2 linked regions of the Notamacropus eugenii genome follow. The protein of the gene in region 2 interacts with the protein of the main gene of each other region in a pairwise test. Links are inferred from orthologs where the notes say so. Each region holds a gene or a part of one and is shown on either strand. Other genes may lie near its edges.

Region 1 (7,843 bases), on a different chromosome or scaffold from region 2:
GAGCCCAGAACATAGAGCTTTTGTGGGTGGTGCAGCTGGGAGAAGGAGACCTCTCCTTCCTCTCGAGGGCTACTTTGTGCCAGCCTTGGTAAAGGAGCCTGGCTCAGACTCTGGGCATCTGGACTCCCAGGTTCTGGGGGTGAGTCTCACCTTTGTTGGTCCTGGAAGGTGGTTGGGTGCTGGGGTGCTGGAGTCTTCTGGCCTCACCCTCCTCTTTTTCCTCATCCTCCCCTGGGGGCTCCACAAAATAGTCATCCACTGTTTGGGGAAATGACTCGTCTTCCTCTTCCTCCTCTCCCCCTGGGGACTGGGGCTGGGTGGGAGCATCACTGCAAAGAGGACAAAACCCTCACATCTGGCTGCGTGACCTACAAGCATCTAAGTATCCAGAACCTCATTCCCAACTTTCAGGGGTACATTCAGGCTCCCAGTCTCCCAACCCTCTGGGGGGAACAGTGTCATTTGGGAGTTTGAAGTTATCTTGAAATTTTATTGGGGTGTCTACAGGGTTATTGGGTATTCCAGGGCATAACTAGGGGAGGAGTCTCTAGTGTTAGTGAGAATCTCTAGGATATTAGGGTTATTACAGAAGATCTAGGGGACCAGGGTTATGAGATGATTCCAACTTTAACACACATGGCAGACTAGACCTCACCTTCATGGAGACCCAGGACCTCACCTATGGGGCATCTGGGGAGGTATGGAGGTGCCTGTAGTAGGGCAGCAGACATATTCCACACCTCGAAATCTATCAGTTCCACATGGGAGGAGCATCCCTGAGCCATGAAGAATGAGGCCCTCAGAGCGGCAAGCCTGAGAAGGAAGTGATAGAGGCCCTTGGGTAGTGGGGAAGACAGGGAATGTGGGGTGGGTGGAAAGGGAGAACAGATAGATTACTGAGTGAACTGGAATGAGGGGGATGGGAGGTTGGACACTCAAGTCTGAAGGGGTTGGAGAGATGGAAAAGTAGACATGGGATCCTGATGGAGATGGGAGGGGGGTAGAAGCATGAATACTGGAGTCTCTGAAAATTCTTTAGAGTCAACATGTCTGAATCTAGACCTCACCTCTTGGGCCTGGTGGTGCCTGTAGGCTGAGCCTTCACACTCATCCATCCTCTCCTGATGCAGGAACTTGCATCCCTCAGGAACCAACAGGGCCTCACTCACAAACTCACCTGCTGTAGGGGTATGGAAGAAGAAAAATGAGCCTTCCCGATTTCCCCTCTCCCCTCCAAATAATCCCCATCCTGTCCAGACCCCCACCTCAGGGATCCAGGTGTTTTGCCCCAAACCTACTCCCTAGATATCTGGGCCCCCGCATTCTGGGTCACACCTGGAGCCAGTATCCCTTTCACTCACGCAGGCAGTGATAAGGAATCACCACGTGGTGGGGACATCTGGTTCCGCGGGCACTCCCACACCAATGCTCCATAGGAATGGGTCTCGAGGCCTCCTCCACGCGGCCGATCTGGAGGTCGGGGTACACCTGGGGGTGGGAGAATGGGATGGGGGCTCCATGGAGGAGTCTCACGGTTCTCCTCACTCTCACTCAATTCCCCTTCCAGGTGCTTTTCCTGAATTCCCAGAGCTCGGCTCAGCTCCCACGTCCCCGCAGAGTATCCACCCCCAAAAGTCCCCTCCCACCGATGCCCGGGCCATTCTCAACCCCTTTACTTCAGACCCCCGGTCGGCCCGGCCCCCTCAGGCCCCGCCCACCTGTCTGCAATAGGCCAACACGTGCTGCGGGTCTCGCAGGCAGCGGCGTGAGCCCTGAGGGTCAGGTTCCCAGCGGCCTGTGCGCAGGTCTCTGTGTAGGGTCAGTCGGCCGCAGTGCCCAGCCACCTGAGGGACCCCCGCGATCTGAAAAGAGAGCGAAGAACCGAGCGTCTGGGACGGGGACTCCAGCCCACGGCCCCGCCCCAGTCGGGGACCCAGGAGTCCCGACCCCGACATCAGAGATACCAGGCATCCGGACCCCAGACCACGCCCCCCTCGAGGACTCAGGCATGCGGACCCCACCTCTAGTCCCCTCTCAGGGATCCAGGCCCCAGCCCCCGCTGCGGTGCAGATGGTGTTGCCAAGGCAACTGCACCGGAGGGGATGGGGGGGTCGCCATGGAGACTGGGTCCCAGGTGAATCGCCTGGCATCACCAGCTGGTTACCGCGGAGACAGACCCTCCTTCCCACTACCGCACCCCCATCCTCTCTGGCCCGTGGAGGTGAGGACGGCGTAGACATGGGTCTTTCTCCGGTCTTGTTCTCTCCCTCACGCTGTGACCCCGGTGTTTGGGTCCCCTGGGCCACGATTTAAGGACCCAGGAGTCTAGGCCTCCAGCCCCTACCCCACTCAAGGGCCTAAACCTCCTGATCCTAAAACCATTGCCCCCATCAGGCATTCATGCGTTTTTAATCCTCCCCAATCCTCTCCTCTTAAAGACCAGGGTCCCGCTGTCTGAGGGCCGCAGGTGTCAGGGTCCCAACCCGCCCATCCCCTCCCAGACCAAGGAGTCCAGGCCCTCCCCCCCCCTCCATTTTAGCCGTAGGTTCTGGGAACTGCACAGCCAGAATCGGGGTGGGGTGGGATGTGGAGGGCTAGGGGTTCTGGGCATCTGGGTCCCCCACCTCACCCTGCGGCCGGGGGCGTGAGTCTCACCTCCCCAGGGCTAGGCGTCCCCCTGGATGAGCTCCCGGGCGCTGGAAGCAGCAGCAGCAGCAGCAGCAGCAGCAGAGAACCGAGGCGGCTCCCGAGCCCACGGGCCGCGGGGTTCGCTGACCCCATGTCCGGGCCGGGGCTGGGGCCCGAGCCCCCTTCTCTGTCTCCCCTGCCCGGCCCTGCAGCGACCTCTGGGCCCGCGATCTCCTTCTTGGGCTCAGCCGAACTCGCCCTACCCTTCCCCCAGTCCTTGGTTGGTCGCCCTCCTTTCACTCCGCCAGCCCCCTCCCCCGGGTTTCCCCGCCCTGGGCCCGCCGGTGACAGGAGCTCCCAGCACCGCCGCCGCCGCTTCCTGCTGCTGCCCACCCCCTCCAGCCCCGGGCTGCGCCGGCGCCGCCAACCCCGCCCCGGCCCCGCCTCCCCGGCTGGGACAATAGCGCGGGTGAGAGTGTTTGCCCTGCTGCGCTGCTCGCTCTGGGCTCTAAATCTCCTCCTAGATCTTTTGGGGACCTCGCCATGCCTGGGCGATCTAAACTGTAATGTTCCCAGCCCCTTGACCTTCAGGGGTGGTCACCCCCTCCAAGCCCTGGGCATCTCGCCTACACGTTCAGCCTCACGTCCTAGATACGAGGGAGTGTCGAAACCTCAACATTACGGCATCTCCACTCCCCACCCCACCTTGGGCTGCCTCGGTAGCTTACGGTGGAAAAATAAGGGAAGGTTTACACATTGGGACTATTTCAACTATTTTTCCCTTGGACCTGGAAGGTTCACAAGAACTGGGGCTGAAGAGTTATATAAACCTGTGAACAAAGTCTGGCTTTGGGAGAGGTAGGGGACCCAAATGGCTAGAACCCCCAGCCCCCCCCCCCCCCAACTCTTGCTCTGCAGACCCCAGAACCTGTGACTGAAATGGAGGGTGGGGCACCGAATGGGTTGGGAACCTGGATGCCTGGGTCTGAGAGGGGAAGAGGTGGACTGGGACCCTGACACCTGTAGCCAGGAGCCATCAGAACTAGTCTTTGACTTTCATGACTTACCCTGGACTGGTTGCTGGATGGTAAAAGATTTCTTACACATACATTTTTCCATTTTTTTAATTAAACATATTCAAATCCCAACATACATCCCATGTTTCCAAATTCATATTTGCCTTAGCAATGGGGTCATCCTAAGAAATGTGCCCCAGATTCCCTCCTTCCCTGCAGAAGGATGGGGTGGCCACCTTGAGTCCACCATCTTGGGTTCCTGGTGTCAGAAGCCATCTTGACACAGTTTCCATGAGATTGAACATTTTGCCAAGTAATCAAGAACCTGCTTCCTGGGCCAGGAATGACTTTTCCCCCATCTATTGGTTGGAGTCATCAATACATCTGTGTGCCCTTGATTCCAGCCTTGCCCCTACCCTATGTACTTCCCCTTTCCAGGGAGCCCATACTAGTCCATCTGCCACTTGGAGTTCTCTTGACTAGAGTGAACTGGTAGGCATGTTTACACTTTGGCCTTTTCCATTTGCTGGGTCAGCTGTCCATCAAAGTCTTGCTCCTCCTCCCCCCTCCCCCCATTCCCAGACTTGGGTTACTATCTTGAGGGGGAAATCTTCTTGGTTGCCCAATGACTGGATCAGTTCTTCATCACACAAGAAAGGACTGGAGACTTTACAGAGGCCTCCCATGGGCTGGAGTGGATGACCAGCTATCAGTCTGAGAGACAGGTCACACATGGGTCTGAAGGCGCTGATGGCCAGGAACAGGGACAGTGTAGGAAAAGGAAGGGGGCCCAGGAGCTGGGTCAGGGGTCCTATAGGGTGTGGATTTGACATAGCTGGTGAAAGCACGGGTATATGGAGTGGTGAGGTAACCATCCCGGGGGCTGTAGAGACCACCTCGGTCTGGGGGGAATACAGGCAGATGAGGGGTAAGGTCACAGAACCCAGAAGGGCTGCCAGGGAAGACAGGAGATGCTGGAGAGAAGAAGAGGGCAGCTCCAGGGTCCTGGTTCACACTCACACCTCGAACTTTATAGTAGCCGTTAGTGGGATCCTGGGAGGAGATTAAAAAAAGATAAAAATGAGACTGATGGAGATAAGGAAAAACAGAAAGATAAAGGATGGGGGGAGGGGGAGGGGAATCAACAGAGAGCAAGAAAAGGGGCCAACAGAGACATAAGAAGAAATAGATACAGAGTGTAACAGGGGCAGAAAGATGGGAGGGCACTTATGGGCAAGGTCAAAGAGAAATACAAGAAGCACCAGAAACAGGTTTGAAGGAGACAAGGAGACACCACAGAGAAGTAGAGTGGAGGCTGATAAACAAGGAGACACAGATGGAGAGGAGACACCACTAGGAGGTCCCTGAACAATGGTGAAAAGGCTTATGGTGGGGGGAGAGATATTGGGGGGAGCGGGGAACAAGAAAACATACAGACATCAGCAATGATGTGCCAGTGAAGGGAAAGACAAGAGTTCGAACGGACCAATGGGCATGCCAGGACAATTGAATACGAGGTACGGTGAGCCCAGGCAAAGACTGAGGAAGAGATGGAAAGAGAAAGCAGGGAGGTGACTGGGCACCCAGAAACAGATGAGGAGAGAAGTCATAAATAGATACAAAGACAGAGATGGGAGGGGGCTCCAGGCGTAGCCCTTGCCCTACTCCGCCCACCTTGGCCTCAGGCCCCGCCTCCTCAGCCCCAACGAAGTCGCTCTGCTTTGAGTGCGAGGTACCGGTGGACTCGCTGCTGAGGACCTGAGCGGGGGAGGTCGTGCCGGTCACTGAGAGTCCAGGGGGAAGCCACCCTCCACCCCTGGGAGCCACCGCCCAGGACCCACTTCCCACTAGGGTTTCGGCAGCAGTCGGCTCCTCGCAGGGTCTTCTGGCAGTTGGGGGCGCTCCGCGCGAGGTGGCCTCCAGAGGTCCATACCTGGTCTTCTCGGATCCCCTCCTCCTCTTCCTCGGGGACTCGAGGGCTGGAACCATCGCTATCAGTGATTTGCACCAGTATGTCTCGCTTGGAGATCCTTGCTCTGGAGCCTGAGGGTGGAGGAGAAGGCGGAGCTGGAGGGCGGCACCCCAGAAGCCGAGAAAACTGAACGAAGAGGGACTGGGGAGGGGCACACTGAGATAGGGACCAGGCTGGGGGGGGGGGGGTGGACCTCGAAGGGCAGCTGTGACCACACTGACCTCGGCCTCGGCGCCAGCAGCAGTGGGTGCCCCCTGCGATGAGCAGTAGTAATAGTAAGGCAGTCGCAGCTGCAGTTACCACGATCCGCACCAGGGGCAGTGGGTCTGGGAGGGGACACAGGCGTCACAGGGTTAAGGAAAAGTTTGGCGAGCCCGGGGCCCGGATCCTAGGTCAAGTTGGGGAGTTTTAGGGGCCGAAAGGAGTCTCGTCGAGGTTGGGTCCGCAAAGGGAGGGGTACCCGGGGAATGTGGGTGCTCCGGAGCCCCATTGGGGGCCTCAGACTGGGTGCCTTAGGTTTGGAGATCTACACGGGTTTGGGAGGTCAGATCCCCTCCTGTGCTTCTCTGGGGACTTTGGGCTCACCAGTGCGGGTCAGGCCAGCCCGGGCTGCCGCCTCGCCCAGACGGTTGCGAGCGCTGCAGTTGAAGTCTCGGGCGAAGTCCAGTTCCCGAGTCCCGGAGATGTGCAGCACCGACACCAATCCCCGGCGCCCACTCCCCGGGGCCCCTGGGGCGGGGAATGTCTCTACTAGGAAGCGGCCTCGGGATCCCGAGGCGAGTGCGCCCTCGCCCCAGGACCAGACCTGGGGGCGGGGGGAGAAGAGAACAGAGAAAGGTTCGGCGGTGGAGAGGCAGTGGAGGCCGGGGAGGGAACGGAGGCAGGGGCAGAAGCCTCGGGAAGGGGAAAGGGATAGATCAGTGAACCTTACCACTGCTTCGGGTGCTGGAGATGCGAGAACTACACACTCTAGCCGGGCAGGGGCTCCCACAGCAGCGGGGGGCGAAGGCAGGGCAGTCACTGCTGGGGGGCCTGGGATGATTCAAGATCCAATCAGAGACAACCTCGTCCCTTGCCCATCCCTTCCCTTTCGTCCTGTCCCCCAAACCTCTGCTCACCATGCACAGTCAGGGTTGCCTCCCCCAGGCCGCCCCCCATTCCTGAGGGTCCTGGCTCTGCTCGACACTCGTAATTTCCAGCGTCCCCCGGCCCCACGGACACCAGACGCAATGTAGGCCCCGAGCCCAGGATCTGGGGACCCATGGGGAAAAGTCATTAGGGGAGATGGGAAGGAGAAGATGAGTTAAACCCAGAGCCTCTGCCCCCAGAGCTCTATCCCTCACCTTGGTCCCCCCACTGCGCGTCCATGTCACTCGTGGGGGCGGGTTTCCCTTCCAGGTGCAGGTGAAAGAGGCGTCTTCTCCCGCATCTACAGCCACTGGTTCAGGTGGGGAGAGGAGGAGAGGACCGACTGAAGATGAAAGGGAGGTTGTCTATGAGATTGTCTCCTGACTCAGAACTCAGACCTCCTAATCAAGCCCTCCCAGGCATTGTGAGTGCCCTCCTCCTAGTCCCTTAGATACCAAGGCATAAGAAGTTCCTCTCAGCCCTGAGGGACTGAGGCACTGAGACTTCTGCAGGAACCCTGGAAAATAAGACCCTTCACCCACTGCAGAAACCCTCCCCAGCCGCTGCCTCTTCAGAAGCTGAAGTCTTGCCCACTGTACTCACATTGCACATCCAATGCCGTGCTCCGATTGGTACTGCCCACGGCATTGGTCACCTCACAGGACACAGGTTCAGTCAGGAAGGAAGCATCAGCTTTCGCCTCCAGAAGGGGCCCCCGAGCTCCAGGAAGCACAGATCCCCCTTTTGCCCACCTGGGAGATGGGAAGGATCAATATTGCAGAGGGTCTCAAGTATGGGGCCGGTGCTATGGGGTCCTGGCAGAGTCTCATCATTTGCAGGCCAAGAGTATTTAGAGGGGCTCACCTGTAGCCAGTGACTGGGGGATGGGCGGTTGCTCTGCACAGAAACGTGACCTTCCCACCCTCTGGCACTGTCTGTGGCTCTGAAGACAGAGTCACCACAGGAGGATCTAAGAGATGGGAGGGGATCGAAGTCAGAGTAAAGAAGGACCTGCCCAGCATCCTTTCCCCCAACCAACTCTTTCTTCTCTGTCCAAGAGCACCTCAAGTCCCCTACAGAACCCAGAAGTCTGATTTTC
Region 2 (7,234 bases):
AACGACCAGCTGTGGAGGAAGGTTTGAAGCACTGGCTTGAATTCCCTGAATGATCCCAGGCTGAGAAGGCGGAGGTGTCACCTGGGTGACGGTGGCCGGCTGCTGCAGCACAGCTGGGATGTTCACTTGCTGACCAACATTCACAACTTGACCACTAGCAGCTACAGGAGGCATTGCTGGCTGGCCATGTCCAACAGCCCCTGCAGGCTGTGCCTGGGCTGTGGTGGATTGCACTGAAGGCTGAATGCTCTGTGAATGAGCAACAGGCATCGCTGAGGCTGCTGCCACTCCTGCAGAATTTGGTGGGACAGGGGGCACTGGTGTCTGGAGAACTTGCTGATGCTGAACATACTCTGGCATAGTTGCAGCGATGGGATTTTGATTTACTGGCTGGATGTGGCCCGGAGCCACCTGTGTGGCCACAGTTTGTTGCTGCTGTCCGTATTGTAACTGCGGCGGTGCTACAACTGGCAAAGGGGTCTGAGAATAGGACGACTGGGACGGAGCCAAGCTGGAAACGGGAGGCTGTTGGCCTAACGATGGTGCTACACCAACCAGATTCACTGGGGGCGACTGAATGCCAGCCGCAGCACTTCTACTGGCCTGCAGAGGAGGCTGACTTCCCTGCTTTTGCGAAGCATAGGTCAGCTCTTGAGAATGCAACTGCACCGGGGCAATCTGAGACTGAGAAATACTCTGTGGTAGACTAGTTGCTGATACACCCTGTGCACCAGGACCACTACTGAAATCCACGGGCTGTGGGGCCACACCTGGGAGGGCTGGCTGCTGCTGGCCCACAACGGGGGCCCCCATCTCTCCACTCCCCACACTCTCTGTGTAGTGACTCAATGTGCTCACATTACTGCTAACTGAACTCCCACTAGTGCTCTCCCTTTCAGAGGTCGCTTCAACTGGGTTTTGTTTTACAGTCTCCACCACTTTGTTTACCGCTACTCCTTCTGTAACTGCTATGGGATTTTCTTTTTCATAGAATTCTGTGCAAGTCCATCTCCCCTTTTTAAAGGGTTCAGAACTAGAATCTAATTTCACAACTCTAAACCTTGATGTGCCAGCCGCTGGTTGTTGCTGCTGAGCTGAAACAGATCCCGCAGCCATTCCTGCAGCTGGGGTAGGAACATTGTTAACAGAAGAATTAGTACCATTGCCCATGCCACTTAGGATATTCACATTAACACTGGTGCTAGCTCCGGGCACAGCATTTACACTAGCAGTACTTGGGACGTTACTGGAAGGTACGTTAACATTACCAGGCATGCTGTTCGTCATGTTAGGATTAACACTACCCATTGCAGTAACGTTAACATTATTTATTGTGTTAGTGCCCGTAACAGAATTTATACCTAGACTGCCAGGAGCATTCGTATTGCGGACATTAGTCATTAGAGATGCAGGTGTGCCAGTGGATGATACAGCAGAAGGTGGTGCAGCTGGTAAAACACTGTCTGAACTTCCAGCTGTGGAGAGTTTTCTAGACACCGGACTTGGGGGTGGCCCTCCAGGAACAGCCGTGCTGACACCAGCATGGGATGGATGGTGGTGCCCATGGTGAAGGTGGTGCCCGTGGTGGTGGTGGTGATGATGGAGATGGTGTGGATGAACACTGCCATTGATCACGACATTCTGGGGTGGATGGTGAGGTAAATGGTGCTGAGGAAGGTGGGGCTGGTTGGGAGAGACCGCCCCAGGGGTCTCGGCCTCCTGGAAGTTATTCAAAGTCTCCTCGGAGGAGCTCCGCTCCGGCTCCCCCAAGTCAGTGGCCCTGGAAAGGGACACGTCCAGGATCTCGGAGGAGGACAGGTCCTCCGTGTGGGACTCGTCCAGGTCGTCGTAGCTCTCCGTGTCCTCGGCGATGCTGTTGTTGGAGCTGATGCTGGCCGAGATCTGGGCCGGCGTCACGCTCGTGATCTGGAAGCCGCTCTTCTTCTTCATCTGCGCCCCGCCGGGCGCGGCGGGGAGCTGCGGGGCCTGCGGGAGGAGGTGCAGGCTCTGCGGGGGCGGCGGCGGCGCCGGCCCCGGCCCAGCGGCCGCCGCCCCGGGCAGCGGCGCGGGAGGCGCGTAGTCCTCGGCCGAGGGGCCCGCGGGGCCGCCGCCGCTGCTGCTGCCCCTCCGAGGGACCGCGGCGGCCGGGTGCGCCATCTTCCGAGCCCCGAGGTCTGCGGCGGCGGCGGCGGCGGCCGTGGCCTCGGGCGGCTGGTGCATTGTGTCTGCACCGCACGGGGAGCTTTGTGTTCACAGCGCAGGGGCCGGAGGCACCGTCCCCGCTGCGCCGCCGGGGCCTTCTGCGCTCAGCAGGCGGAGGACGGCGGGGGGGACAAGGCAAGAATGGGGGGCACTACCGGTCCTCGGCCATTCACTTTTCCTTCTGGTCCTCTCCACCCCCTTTTATACAGTCCGCTTCACTAGGGGAGGAGGGGGTGGGGGGAGGTAGAGGAAGGAGGCAGGCAGACTGAAGAAGAGGAGAGGGGGGAGAGAGAGAAATGCCCACGTTATCCGGCCAACTTGGAAACCACCGCTGCCCCCGCCGCCCCTACCCCCGCCGCCGCCCCCGCCCCCTCCGCCACCCCCGCCGCGGTGCCGCGGCGGCGGCCACCCCTCCACCCGCCCCAACCCCAAAGGGCTGCCCCGGGAAAGGCACGCCCGGAGGCCAGGCCGGAGCAGCTAAAAGCCCGGTGCCTCCCCCTCCCCCCGCCCCCTCCCCCACCGCTAGGCTGGAAGCTGCTCCGGGGGCGCCGCCGCCGCGGCGGCTCAGCCGGGAACCCAGCGGAGCCGGGGCCGCTGGGCCGGCCGGGGAGGGCCGAGGGGGCGGCGGCGGCTGCAGCTGGGGGGAGGCCGGTAAGGGGGGAGGGAGAGATACGTACGATCCTCGCACCCAGCCGGGGGGCGGCGGCGGCGGCGGCAGGAGCAGCGGCGGCCGGGCGGGCGGGGGCGGGGGGAGCGCAGGGACCGCTCCATCACTGGCAGCCGCGGAGCCCCAACATCTTCCTCCCTCCGGGCCAGCAGCCCGGCGGCTCCGGTCCTCGGCCCTCGGGGAGGAGGCGGGCGGGCAGGCAGGCAGCAGCCAGGGGGCGTGAGGCTTCTCTCCGCGGCGGCGGCTTCGCCGGGCCGGGACTACCCACGGACGGACGGGCGCCGCTGAATGGAGCAGGAGGTGGGGGCGGCCAGGGGAGGGGCAGGGAGCGGGATGGGGGCAGGGTGTCGGGTGCGCCCGGGGGTTGGGGAGGGGGCGGCTGGGGGGGGGCTGGTTACGAGAGCTCTCCTTAGGCTGCCCCGGCTACGCCGTCTTCCCCACTGTCTCTCACGGCATTGGAAGAGGAGGGACGGGCTCCCGAGCCCGGGCGCAGGAGGAGGAGGAGCGTCCGGCGGTAAGAAGAGGAGGAGGAGGAGGAGGCAGCGGCGGCCGGGGGAGGGGGCCGAGGAAGATGGCGTCTGCGCAGGCGCTCTGGCGCCGCAGACATAAAGCCTCGCCTGGCGAGGAGAAGGGGCGGGGCCGGACGAGGCGGGAGGGGGCGGGGAGGGTAGAGGAGAGACGGTGTTCGGGGACTCGAAGACCCGCCGAGGCGGCAGCCGAGCTCGGGTGCTCTTGACGGAAACTACCGAAGGCCAGAGTCGGATGCCCAGGCGCCGGCGCGGTGGGGGCGGGGACTTGGAGATCGGGGAGCGAATCCGGGGCGGACAGCGTGATGCTGCCAGTATGGGGTGGGGTGGGGCATGAAGTGAGAGGGGGGCGCGGGCGCGAGCGGCCGAGGTGTGTCCTCGCTCCCTTCGCGCTTGGGGCGTGTGTGCGCGTGCACGCGCCCCGGCGAGGGGGGAGGGGGGCCCTCTGCAGTGCAGGGGGGAGGGGAGGGGCGGGGCGGGGCGGGCCGCCGGGCCATGTGCCTGGAGCGGGCCCGTGGCAGAATGGGGTTCTTCTCTGCAGCGCGGCGCAGCGGGCGCATCACGAGTTCTGCTTCCCAGGAGTCCCCAAGCCACCACATGAGTCAGGCTTTTCTCCCTCCTCTGCCACCTTCCCCGTGTGGAGGATGCCCACGCCTGCATGGCCCCCCCTCTACGCACACACGCGCGCGCGCGCACTCGGATCCTCCTTCACGCCCCTGGCGTGACGGGCGACACCTGGCCCCCGAGCTCCCGCCAAGGGGTCCCCTTTGTGTGGGCCAGAGCGCAGCTGCCATGCGGTCCCTTCTGCGGGCGGGCAGCGTGCGGAGGGAGGCGCATCGACACCTCCGCAGGTGGAGCCCCGTCTCCTGCAGTGCGGGGCCAGGACGACCGCGATGAGGACTGTTACTCGTCTGGTCTCTACAACGGGCGTTACACTGTAACTCCACACTTAACTGTAACTTAACCCTGTTACCCACATTCAGTGCGGTTAGGTTGGCCGCTCTCCTCAGCGTCAGACCAGCAAACCCTCCCGCGGTTACCAGACGAATTCAGAGGTGTCCTAGGATCGAGCGATCCCACCGGACAGGAGGAGGGCAGCGGGGCCAGGAAGCGCTTCCTGCCCACGTTAAGAACCCCAGTGTAGACGAGAACACGTGAGGGATGCCTTGAGGAATGACTGAGGGTCTCGTCAGAAAAATCCCAGATTTCGCCCGTCTGGGAAGCCCTTGCCTCGGTGGTCTGGGCATTTGGAAACGAAGCAGCTTCCCAGAAAGCCCCAGCCCAGGTGGGAATGTCAGGGACCCAAACCAAAGCCTGCCTCCCCAGACTTCCTCGTTTTAGAGCCGGTCCTCTCCCTTCCCTGGCCCAGAAAGGGCAGGACTGGGTGACCTCTGAGAGGAGATATTTGTTTAGTAACTGAGGCTAAAAGCATGTGGAGGGGCGGTGGGAGCCCGAAGAACGTGGAAGGTAGACTTAGGACCGAGACATCCGGGTAGAACAGTTAAGCTTTCTAGACCTCCGTTCAGTTTCATACGAGGTAACAATGTAACTCCTTTGCAGGAGCTGCATTTTCGAAGTGTAAGTTGAAATGCACCGCCCCATGAGCTCAGTTGTCTTTTGAGGTGCTTATTCCTGACTTTGGACTGATCTTTGTCAGCCTATTTTTTTCTGATTCTTTCTGCCCCACCCCATAGCTTGAAGGGCTGACCAAATGGAAATATCACATGAACAAAGATTGTATTTTTGTATTCACTATCCATGTCTCTGGGTGTATTTTTACTTAAAAAAAAAAAAGCTCATCCTTTTTTTTTTCCCTCAAAGCCTTTGCAAATGATACTCTTAGTTAATGGCCTTGCTATCAATTTTTGAAATGCAAATTTCCATCATGTTTTTTCAACAGTTTTCAAATGGGAAATGGAAACTATCTTAACTGATGGAAACTCCTTGTGGAATGCAGATAGGCCAAATACAGTTTCTCCAGGGCTTGAGAGAAAATATTCTTGCAGTCACAAAACATGATTTAGAGCTGTTTTATATGTTATTCAAAACAGAACAGTTTCACATCACCTGGGGCCCTCTTAACATCGTCCTAATATTTGGTCTAAGACAAAAAAGGTCATATAAGACTAAATTAAATTGTAACCCAAAGTTCATAGTGGAAAAGAGCTATTTAAGTATCCAAGAGAGAGCATCTACTCCTCTGACACTAATAAAACACTAATAAACAAATATACTAGTAAAAAGTGGGAGGATATTACAAGTGCCATTTCTTTAAAAATTGGTTTTCAAACTTCACTGCATGGAAGTCTTGGGTTCTATGAAGCAAACAGAGCTTTCCAAAAAGTAGAGTAGCATATAAGTAGGTAGGCTGAATCTAAATGCAAGGTTTCATGACCACTTATATGGTGTTATATATAACATTTAGTTATGGATAGGAATGAATGACTTCTGAGGACACTTTCAATTTTGCATTGCTGTGATTCTGATTCAGTCGGTTCTTGTTCTTGTTAAATTCTTGTTAAAATATGGTCTCTAAGCCAGGGGTCCCAGAACTCAAGGTCTCAGGACTTAAGCAAAAAGATCTACAGCCTCAAAAATACAAATACCCTATGTTTTCCAGCTGTCATTATAGTGTCTATGAATAATAACCCTTAAAAAGGAAAGGAACAACCAGAAAACAAAATGCTTAAATCTTGAACTTAACCTCTCAACACATACCTAAGCTTTTTTTTGCAAATATGTCCATGTTTTTATGTTAAAAGTTGTTTCCCTAGGAAAATGTTAAAATTTCACTGTTTTTATCACGAGTGTCTAAATTTGTTCTGTAGCTTTAATTTCTAGTCGTATATCAAAGTATTTAATGTAATCAAAAAATTAGAACACATTATTGAATCTAAACATTGGGAGTCTTTTTTTTTTTTTTTGGTTATGCCTTTTAAAGGACTGTTTATGTTAGAAGTCTTTCTAGTTCCAGAGCTTGGTACACAATAGCTATTGAATCACCTTTCTATCATATAAAAGATTAATCTTTATTAGACCAGGTAGAGTAATTGTTACCATTATTTTATAGATGAAGAAAGGGAAACCGAGAAGGGAATCATATGACTTCATCTAATATCACGTGACTCTCCAGGTCTTGTGTCTCCCCAGTTCATGCTCTTTCTATACTGCCTTTATGATCAATTGTAGCTGTAGTTTTTGTCTTATCACAAGACTACTCAAGGAACAAAATTTCCTGGGTGTCATAAAGTGTGGGTCCACTTTGACAAAGAAAATAAGACATTGTATAATATTTAACTAATTGTATATACATATGCTAAGAGCCAAATAGATATTTTTTTTGCACCTAGAATGTCTGCAAGGATATCCATTTATCCAACAAAAAGTTACTACTTTGTTCCAATAATATATATTGAGAACATATATTCATTAGCAATATTCATGCCAAAGTGTTTGAGAACTTGTTGCTACAACAATCCTGCATTACACCTGAATATTCTAAGGAAAAGTTATCATTTGAATACTATTTTGAGTGTTTCATATGGAAAATACTACAATAAATGATAGTTTCTTGTCTTTAGAAAGGACTTGTATTTCTAAAACAGGGAAAGAAAGCAATTTTTAAAATACTTGAGTTGAGACTATGCAACAAAAAAAAAGACTGCTTTTGCAATGAACAGAACTGAATTATATTATTTTGACTAATAAGGAATACATCAAATAGGAAATGAACCCATGTTTGCATGATGGAATAGAAATAGCTTAAGATTTAAAGTTAGGAGACTCAGGTTCCAATCCTAGCTCTTAACCAGCTCTACCGTCATGAACAAGTCTTTTA

Evidence for each region.
Region 1: the proteins of TSC22D1 (region 2) and APLP1 interact in a two-hybrid assay, tested with the Homo sapiens proteins (2 studies listed by BioGRID and IntAct). The link is inferred for Notamacropus eugenii from reciprocal best matches to the Homo sapiens genes TSC22D1 and APLP1.

Annotation. Positions count from the first base shown.
Region 1 is NC_092876.1:33,031,001-33,038,843, reverse strand, and holds the start of APLP1 (amyloid beta precursor like protein 1), read right to left. Parts: upstream 3,020-7,843; 5' UTR 2,782-3,019; coding exon 2,656-2,781; intron 1,863-2,655; coding exon 1,719-1,862; intron 1,489-1,718; coding exon 1,362-1,488; intron 1,181-1,361; coding exon 1,068-1,180; intron 814-1,067; coding exon 680-813; intron 330-679; coding exon 151-329; intron 1-150. Other genes in the region: KIRREL2 (kin of IRRE-like protein 2), read right to left, coding at 4,371-4,697, 5,319-5,402, 5,578-5,687, 5,838-5,942, 6,202-6,421, 6,548-6,648, 6,735-6,867, 6,960-7,087 and 2 more. UniProt on the Homo sapiens protein: May play a role in postsynaptic function. The C-terminal gamma-secretase processed fragment, ALID1, activates transcription activation through APBB1 (Fe65) binding. Couples to JIP signal transduction through C-terminal binding.
Region 2 is NC_092877.1:295,069,306-295,076,539, forward strand, and holds the start of TSC22D1 (TSC22 domain family protein 1), read right to left. Parts: upstream 3,007-7,234; 5' UTR 2,880-3,006; intron 2,468-2,879; 5' UTR 2,221-2,467; coding exon 1-2,220. UniProt on the Homo sapiens protein: Transcriptional repressor. Acts on the C-type natriuretic peptide (CNP) promoter. Acts to promote CASP3-mediated apoptosis.